Linked DNA regions of Schizosaccharomyces pombe. Changing the gene in region 2 together with the main gene of any one other region gives a genetic interaction. Each region holds a gene or a part of one and is shown on either strand. Other genes may lie near its edges.

What was found.
Region 1: mutations in ent3 (region 2) and sst4 impair growth when combined (synthetic growth defect), as found in Schizosaccharomyces pombe (one study listed by BioGRID).

The regions. Positions count from the first base shown.
Region 1 is NC_003424.3:2,475,811-2,479,572, reverse strand, and holds the start of sst4 (ESCRT 0 complex subunit sst4), read right to left. Parts: upstream 1,703-3,762; 5' UTR 1,455-1,702; coding exon 1-1,454. Other genes in the region: pbr1 (putative dehydrogenase), read left to right, coding at 2,477-3,607.
Region 2 is NC_003421.2:273,098-276,859, reverse strand, and holds the start of ent3 (ENTH/VHS domain-containing protein Ent3), read left to right. Parts: upstream 1-2,111; 5' UTR 2,112-2,262; coding exon 2,263-3,693; 3' UTR 3,694-3,762. Other genes in the region: malate dehydrogenase Mae2, read left to right, coding at 1-1,346.

The DNA.
Region 1 (3,762 bases), on a different chromosome or scaffold from region 2:
GTTGAACTATTCCTCACAGTGCTAATTACATCCGGCTCAGGTTCAATTGATCGGTTTGAATCCATGCTAGAATCAATATAATGATGTGCATACGTGGATGAAAGTCTTTGTTCTATTAGAGCATCATTCAATCGCATACAAGTTTGGAGCTTTTGCAAAGCTTGAATTAGCCCGTTATATTTACTCATTGTTTCACCAAGCGATCGCATCATACGAGTTCGCATAACACCCATATTTTCGTGGAGTTCCTGTAGCTGATATTCCGTAAAAATAGACCCAGGTGGTAGCTTTTTTAACTTTTGCACCAAAGTAGCATATAAAGTGATGTTATCAGCATCCGCAGTAGAAATTAAAGTAGAAGGATTATCACTCGGCCTACCAGAGAAAGGAGATGATCGAATATCAGTTGAAACGGTGTGAGCTGGAACACTAGGGTAAGAAATATTCATATTGTTAGGTGCCGTAACATTGTCATCCTTTTGAGATGACTTCTGTGCTTCCTCAAGGCTGATAGCAATAGCACGTTTAAGCTCTTCATCTTCGTCTTCTGTAAGATGTTGGTCTTGACTAATAACTACATTGGCCTCTGAAGGTCTTTCATAAGATGGAGGTTCTCGTGATTGAGGCATTTCTTTGAGGGAAAGCTCAATAGCTCTTTTGATATCTTCGTCTTCATTATTAGTTACGGGTTTAGAGGGTGTCTTTCTAGTCTTCGCATGGAATTTCCTTTCATTTCGCGCTCTTGATTTGGAACCTTTGGGTTTCGTACGTAATGAATAACAACTGTCGCATACCCTAACAGGCTGGTTAATTCCAAGGTGAGGAAGAGAAAGTGTTTTTGAAGAACATTGATTGCAAAACACGCCACCGCAATTTCTACAATGGTGTTTACGATTAGTGAATGTAAAAGGTGTACGACAACGAAGACAAACTTCACTATCTGTCCAATCGGGCGGTGTTTCAGTATCTAAAAATTTGCTAGTAATGTTCTGAGAAGGCTCAGGGAACTCATAATCACCGTCTTTTAAATTTTGATAAACATGAATAATATAACTAAGTGGAGAATTGGTATCTGGAACTGCCAAAGCCCAAGACTGAATGTATCGTAAAATGACCATTTTAACGTCTTCGTCTATTCCTGCAGGAGATCGTAGAATAGATACCAAATTATCCATAAACTCTCTAGAAGCTATTTCCAATAAAAAACCGGAACCCCCATTTTTAACGCAGGTATCTGTCAACTTCAATGCCATTATTTGAACATTCGGATTCGAATGATCAATTCGGGATTTAAGAATACGCATAGCAAATTTCGGATCAACAGACTTACTACGTATTTGATCAGAAATTTCTAAATATAATGAAATTTCTTCAGAGCCAGCAGGAAGCGTTTCCGATGTAGCCTTTTCTATGTCGGAAGCAAACTGAGAATTGGAATTCCACCACCGAGACATCGTTATGAAAATAGAGAAGAAAAGAAAAACCGAAATTAAGAAACAAAAGAAATCTTTTTATTATTTGTAAGCTAAATTGTCACCAAACAAATAACCAATGGCCTTCAAAAATTCCTAATAAACAAAAGCAGCAGGTGAAGTATAACAACTTTGGCACAATTCTTCTGATTGTTTGAAATTATGGCAAAATAATGTATTGTAAATCCTCCTTTCCAATAAAATTCAATTTGAGAAAGAGTTTGGTTCTCGACAGCAATAACAGATTGTTCGTGGCTCAAACTTGCTAAGTAATAGTGCGGGCAGCTTAGCACATCTCGGTATAACGGTTGATAGTGCAGAGCGGCAAATATAGTAAAGCAAGTATTGAGAGAACACTAATTGTCGTAAATATCGATGATGTTTATAGACTCATTAGGTAGATCAAGCTAAAGCGTGCAATGTAGTTTCAGCCTTTTTGAAGGTACCATAAATAAGCAAAGAAGGAAAACGATACCTCACCATTGAGTGCTGTACTTCTGGTAGGTGCTAATAAGACAGACCGTAATAATTTATATTTGCTATGCGAATTATATACTATCACAGTGTTTCTTGAAATATTATAAAAAATAATATGTCAAATGTTGTAGTATACACATACTTAATTTTCCTATGTTAAAACAAGTATTTAGTATATCTTCAAATTTCACATATATATCATATAAACAGTCTATTTTACTTTCCAATTTGTAAGCAATCTGTTTTACGGTCCATAAATTACATTATGTATATATACAAAAACAATTCAATCCTATCTTTGTCAAATTTATGGAGCTAGTTGCTATTAGTAATATGCACTAGCAGTCAAGCGATTAAATAATTGTACAATTAAATCCATCTAAAGTTAAAACAATTGTATAAAAAAAAGTTTTAAATTTTTGATTGTTAAGAATTAAATATGAAGACGAGTTTAGTATACCTCAATGTCAGTGGTATGTAGCTGCCTTTTGCCAACTCCATCAACAGATTTTGTAAATCAACGAAATATGCCTATTCCAATTATTGCTCACATAGCACAATTTAAGTATGAGCATCTAATTACACATTGGGCTCAATATACAAAGGCTGCGATTGCGGTTTCAACAATTGCGGCCTTTAAATTCTGGACTTCTGGACGAACAACAACTTGGGAGCGTAAAATGAACGGAATGGTAGTCATGGTCACTGGGGGAAGTTCTGGAATAGGACAAGTTGTCGTAGAGAAATTAGCTTCTCTGGGAGCTCAAGTTGTTATTCTACTTCGTACAGAGCCAGATCAATTTACTGTAGATTACATAATGGACCTTAGAAAGCGTACAAAAAACCAACTAATTTATACTGAAGTCTGTGACTTGAGCTCTATGTTATCTGTTAGGAAGTTCGCTACAAAGTGGATTGATTGCACTCCTATTCGTAGGCTGGATATGATAGTTTTGTGCAGTGGAGTTTTACTGCCTCCATTTATGGATAGGCAAACTACCGAGGAAGGTGTTGAGTTGCAATGGGCTACAAATTTCTTAGGTCCATACCAGCTACTTAGGATTCTCCGCCCAGTTATATATGGTCAGCCCGGGCACAGGGAAGTACGAATTGTTGCAGCTACCTGTTCATCATATATTTTAGGTAATATAGATTTCAACGATCTTGATTTATCTAATCATCCATATCCTCGAAAAAGTCCCTGGAAGGTAGTGGGAAATGCCAAACTTGCCTTGATGACTTATCTTTATGATTTTCAGAAAAAAGCTGAAGCTCATGAACGACCTGACAAAATGCCGTGTAATTTACATACCATCATGGCAAATCCAGGTGTCGTTCGAACTCCAGGATTTCGAAGAGTTGTATCCTTTGGAAAGGTTTGGGGATTATTTCTTTATTTGTTACTTTGGCCGTTTTGGTGGCTTCTTCTGAAAGGTACTATTCATGGTGCTCAATCATTTTTTCATGCTATTTGCAGTCCCGAATTTGCTTCGATTACTCAACCCGTCCTTGTAAATGAATGTTCGATAGTTGAATATTCACGCAAAGAAATTACCGATCCGGAATTTGCTGAAAAACTAATAAAAGCTGCCGATGCCCAAATTGATGAAGTTGAAAAGCAATACAAGAAGAAGAAAATCAAGAAATCAAAAAAATAGAAGTTTAGCGAAAAATATGGAATGTCATTTGGTTGGAATATTCACCATAATAACGTAGGTCCGAAGTTAAAAGGTTGGTATTTTTAAAAAGACAAATACAGTGCTTAAACTTTAAGCTGTACATAAACATTGCTCAAGTAAACTAATTAAAATAT
Region 2 (3,762 bases):
ATCGTTATCCTGAGGGTTGTTATTTGGATATTGATCATAACGATTTGTCTTATATCAAGCAACAGCTTTCCGAGTTTGGAAAATCCGATAGTGTCGAATACATTATCATTACCGATTCTGAAGGTATTTTGGGTATCGGCGATCAAGGTGTTGGTGGTGTCTTAATTTCAGTTGCCAAGGGACATTTAATGACTTTATGCGCGGGTTTAGACCCTAATCGATTCTTGCCCATTGTTCTCGATGTTGGCACCAACAATGAAACCCATCGTAAAAATCATCAATACATGGGTTTGAGAAAGGATCGTGTTCGTGGTGAACAGTATGACAGCTTTTTGGACAATGTTATAAAGGCCATTCGTGAAGTCTTTCCTGAGGCCTTTATTCATTTTGAGGATTTTGGTCTTGCCAACGCCAAGCGCATTTTAGACCACTATCGTCCTGACATTGCCTGCTTTAACGATGATATCCAGGGAACCGGTGCCGTAGCATTGGCCGCCATTATTGGCGCCCTTCACGTTACGAAATCTCCCTTAACCGAGCAGCGCATCATGATCTTTGGTGCAGGTACTGCTGGTGTTGGTATCGCCAACCAAATTGTTGCCGGTATGGTGACAGATGGCCTTTCATTAGATAAGGCTAGAGGTAATCTTTTCATGATTGATCGTTGCGGTTTGCTTTTGGAGAGACATGCTAAGATTGCTACTGATGGACAAAAGCCATTTTTGAAGAAGGACTCTGACTTTAAGGAAGTCCCTTCTGGAGACATTAATTTAGAGAGTGCTATTGCACTCGTCAAGCCCACCATTCTTTTGGGATGTTCCGGTCAACCGGGTAAATTTACAGAGAAAGCCATTCGTGAAATGAGCAAGCACGTCGAGCGCCCCATCATTTTCCCAATCTCTAATCCCACTACTCTTATGGAAGCGAAGCCCGATCAAATTGACAAATGGTCAGATGGAAAGGCTTTGATAGCCACTGGTTCCCCACTTCCTCCTCTCAATCGCAATGGTAAAAAATACGTGATTTCCCAATGCAACAATGCCCTCCTTTACCCTGCTCTTGGTGTTGCATGTGTGTTATCCCGTTGCAAGTTATTGAGTGATGGTATGCTGAAAGCAGCTTCCGATGCTTTGGCCACTGTTCCCAGATCTTTATTTGCTGCTGATGAAGCCCTCTTGCCAGATTTGAACAATGCTCGCGAAATTTCTCGTCACATTGTTTTTGCAGTCTTGAAGCAAGCTGTTTCTGAGGGAATGAGCACTGTGGATTTACCCAAAGATGATGCTAAATTGAAGGAATGGATTATTGAACGTGAATGGAATCCCGAATACAAGCCTTTTGTATAAAGCCTTTTATTTTATTTTTTTTTGAAACCTGCTTTTTGGTCTGCTTGTATTTAAAGATATTCATGTAAATAATTTTTTGAAAGATGAATTTACAATAAGTTGCTAAAAAGAAAATTCCCGTTTTATTCAAATGCTCATATTTGAATATTAGAAACATTATGTACATATTTAGGCATCTTCCATTAAGAATGATTAATGCGTAGAAAGATAATCAATTATTATTGCTTTTTTCTCCTATTGTTATTCATCAACTATATACATTAAAAAGATTGGAGTATAGCAGAGGTAGAATTTCTTTACTCTGAAAAGTAAATCGAAATAAATGGTATATGATTCAGTCTGAAATAAATTGAGCACGAGTATTCAAACCGTAAACCGTTATGTATTGAATGAACCATTTGATTTAATAAAGGTTATAATTTTACGAATTTATAATGGGTAGTTATATAGAAACACCAAGTTAACTTTATAATCAGATTAATCTGAATAATAAATTAAAAAGGGAAAGAGAAATCTGTATATGGATGAAACAAACAAATAGTAAATCGCATTTGACACCTACAAAATGTGTGTGAATATATACATACAAGGAGGGCCTGTAAATAGAACTTTGTATTCCCAAGGGATTTAGTGAACACCCTTAAAATCGTTATTACTAAATTTCGTAGATCAATAAAAAAAAATTCTCTCAGTAAAGCAGAATAAAGATATATGATGCAGTTTCTTGATAAAGTAAAAAGGAGCCGCGGCTAGACTGAGAAATCTGATTTCCCCATCCACCGACAACAATACTTCCATACTCGTTGCCTACGCGTTCTTTGAGAAGCGAAAACTTCTTTAAAAAAGTTTCATTTAAACAATTGGATATAAATTCCTTTAGGAACTAGAAATCCAAGAAAGTAAAACATTATCTAAGATGGAGTCCATTCAATCGACGATGAAGAACATCAACCTTTACGATATCAAGGCGGCGGTTCGTAAAGCACAAAATGTTGTAATGAATTATACATCTATGGAAGCCAGAGTTCGTGAAGCAACGAATAATGAACCCTGGGGCGCTAGTACTTCTTTGATGATGGAAATTGCCCAAGGAACTCACAACTACTCTCAGTTAAACGAAATTTTACCAATGATCTACCGTCGGTTTACCGAAAAAACTGCAGAAGAATGGCGTCAAATTTACAAAGCACTTCAGCTTCTGGAGTTTTTGGTCAAGAACGGGTCTGAAAGAGTGGTAGATGATGCTCGAGCACATCAAGCAACTATTAAAATGCTTCGTAATTTTCACTACATCGACCATCGTCAAAAGGACCAAGGGCTTAATGTTCGAACTCGAGCTAAAGAGCTGGTGGAATTACTAAACGATAGCGAACGTATCCGTAAGGAACGCAAGAGAGCGCGTCAAAATCGTGGTAAATTTATAGGTGTTGGTAGTGATGGAGATTCTAGGATTTCCACTAGCTCTAAATCTAGGTTTCCTAGCTTTGGCTCTTCCCGTGGTTCTTATAGAACTCGCGTTTACGGAGACGGTGGCGGCTTTACCGATTATGGTAATGGATACCATGATTCATCTTCTATGAGTGATTCCCGTGATGCATCCGATAACGATGTAGAGGAGTACAATGAAGATGGAGATGGTGGTTCCAGCGATGCTGCAACCGCAAACTCCACGCGTGGCTCACGTCGCACTACTACCAAACAATCTGACAAAGCTCCCGAGCAGCCAAAACAGGAATCTGCAATGATCGATTTATTGGGTCTTGACAATGAGCCTTCTCCTGCCCAACCACAAACAAATACTTCTGCTCCTTTGGCGTTCGAAGATGATGGCTTCGGTGACTTCCAAAGTTCTGCCGCTGCCCCAGCTTCTTCCACCTTAAACAATGCCTCTCTCTTTATGGGCTCTCAAACTGCTTCAACTGCTGCTAAAAATGACGATGATGCTTTTGATGATTTTCAAAGCGCTCCCTCCGCCAAACCCGCTTCAAATACTGCTGCCTTTTCGTCAATTTCGTTCGGTGGCTTTAATAGTTTAAATCAACTTCCCACATCATCCAGTGCCTTTACACCTCAACCTACTACCTTTAATACGGGTTATACATCTGCGTTTGGTATGTCATCCGGATTGTCTAATACCTCTTCACAAGCCGGTCTCGGATTAACCTCACAACAACCTACTGCTGCCAAATCTTCTGGATCTAATGGTGATGCTTTTGGTAGTCTGTGGTCCTCTGCCGTAAACAAAGTTCATCAAGAAAACTCAACTAGGGAAAGAGTTGTTTCGTCTTCTAGCGAACCGGTTTCTAAAACCCAAAACTTCCTAGACAACGACAATCTCCTATTGTAATAATTGTTTTTTATATTCCTAGTTTGTCTTTTTTAATACTTCCTATTAGCATGTGTTTGCTATGGAATT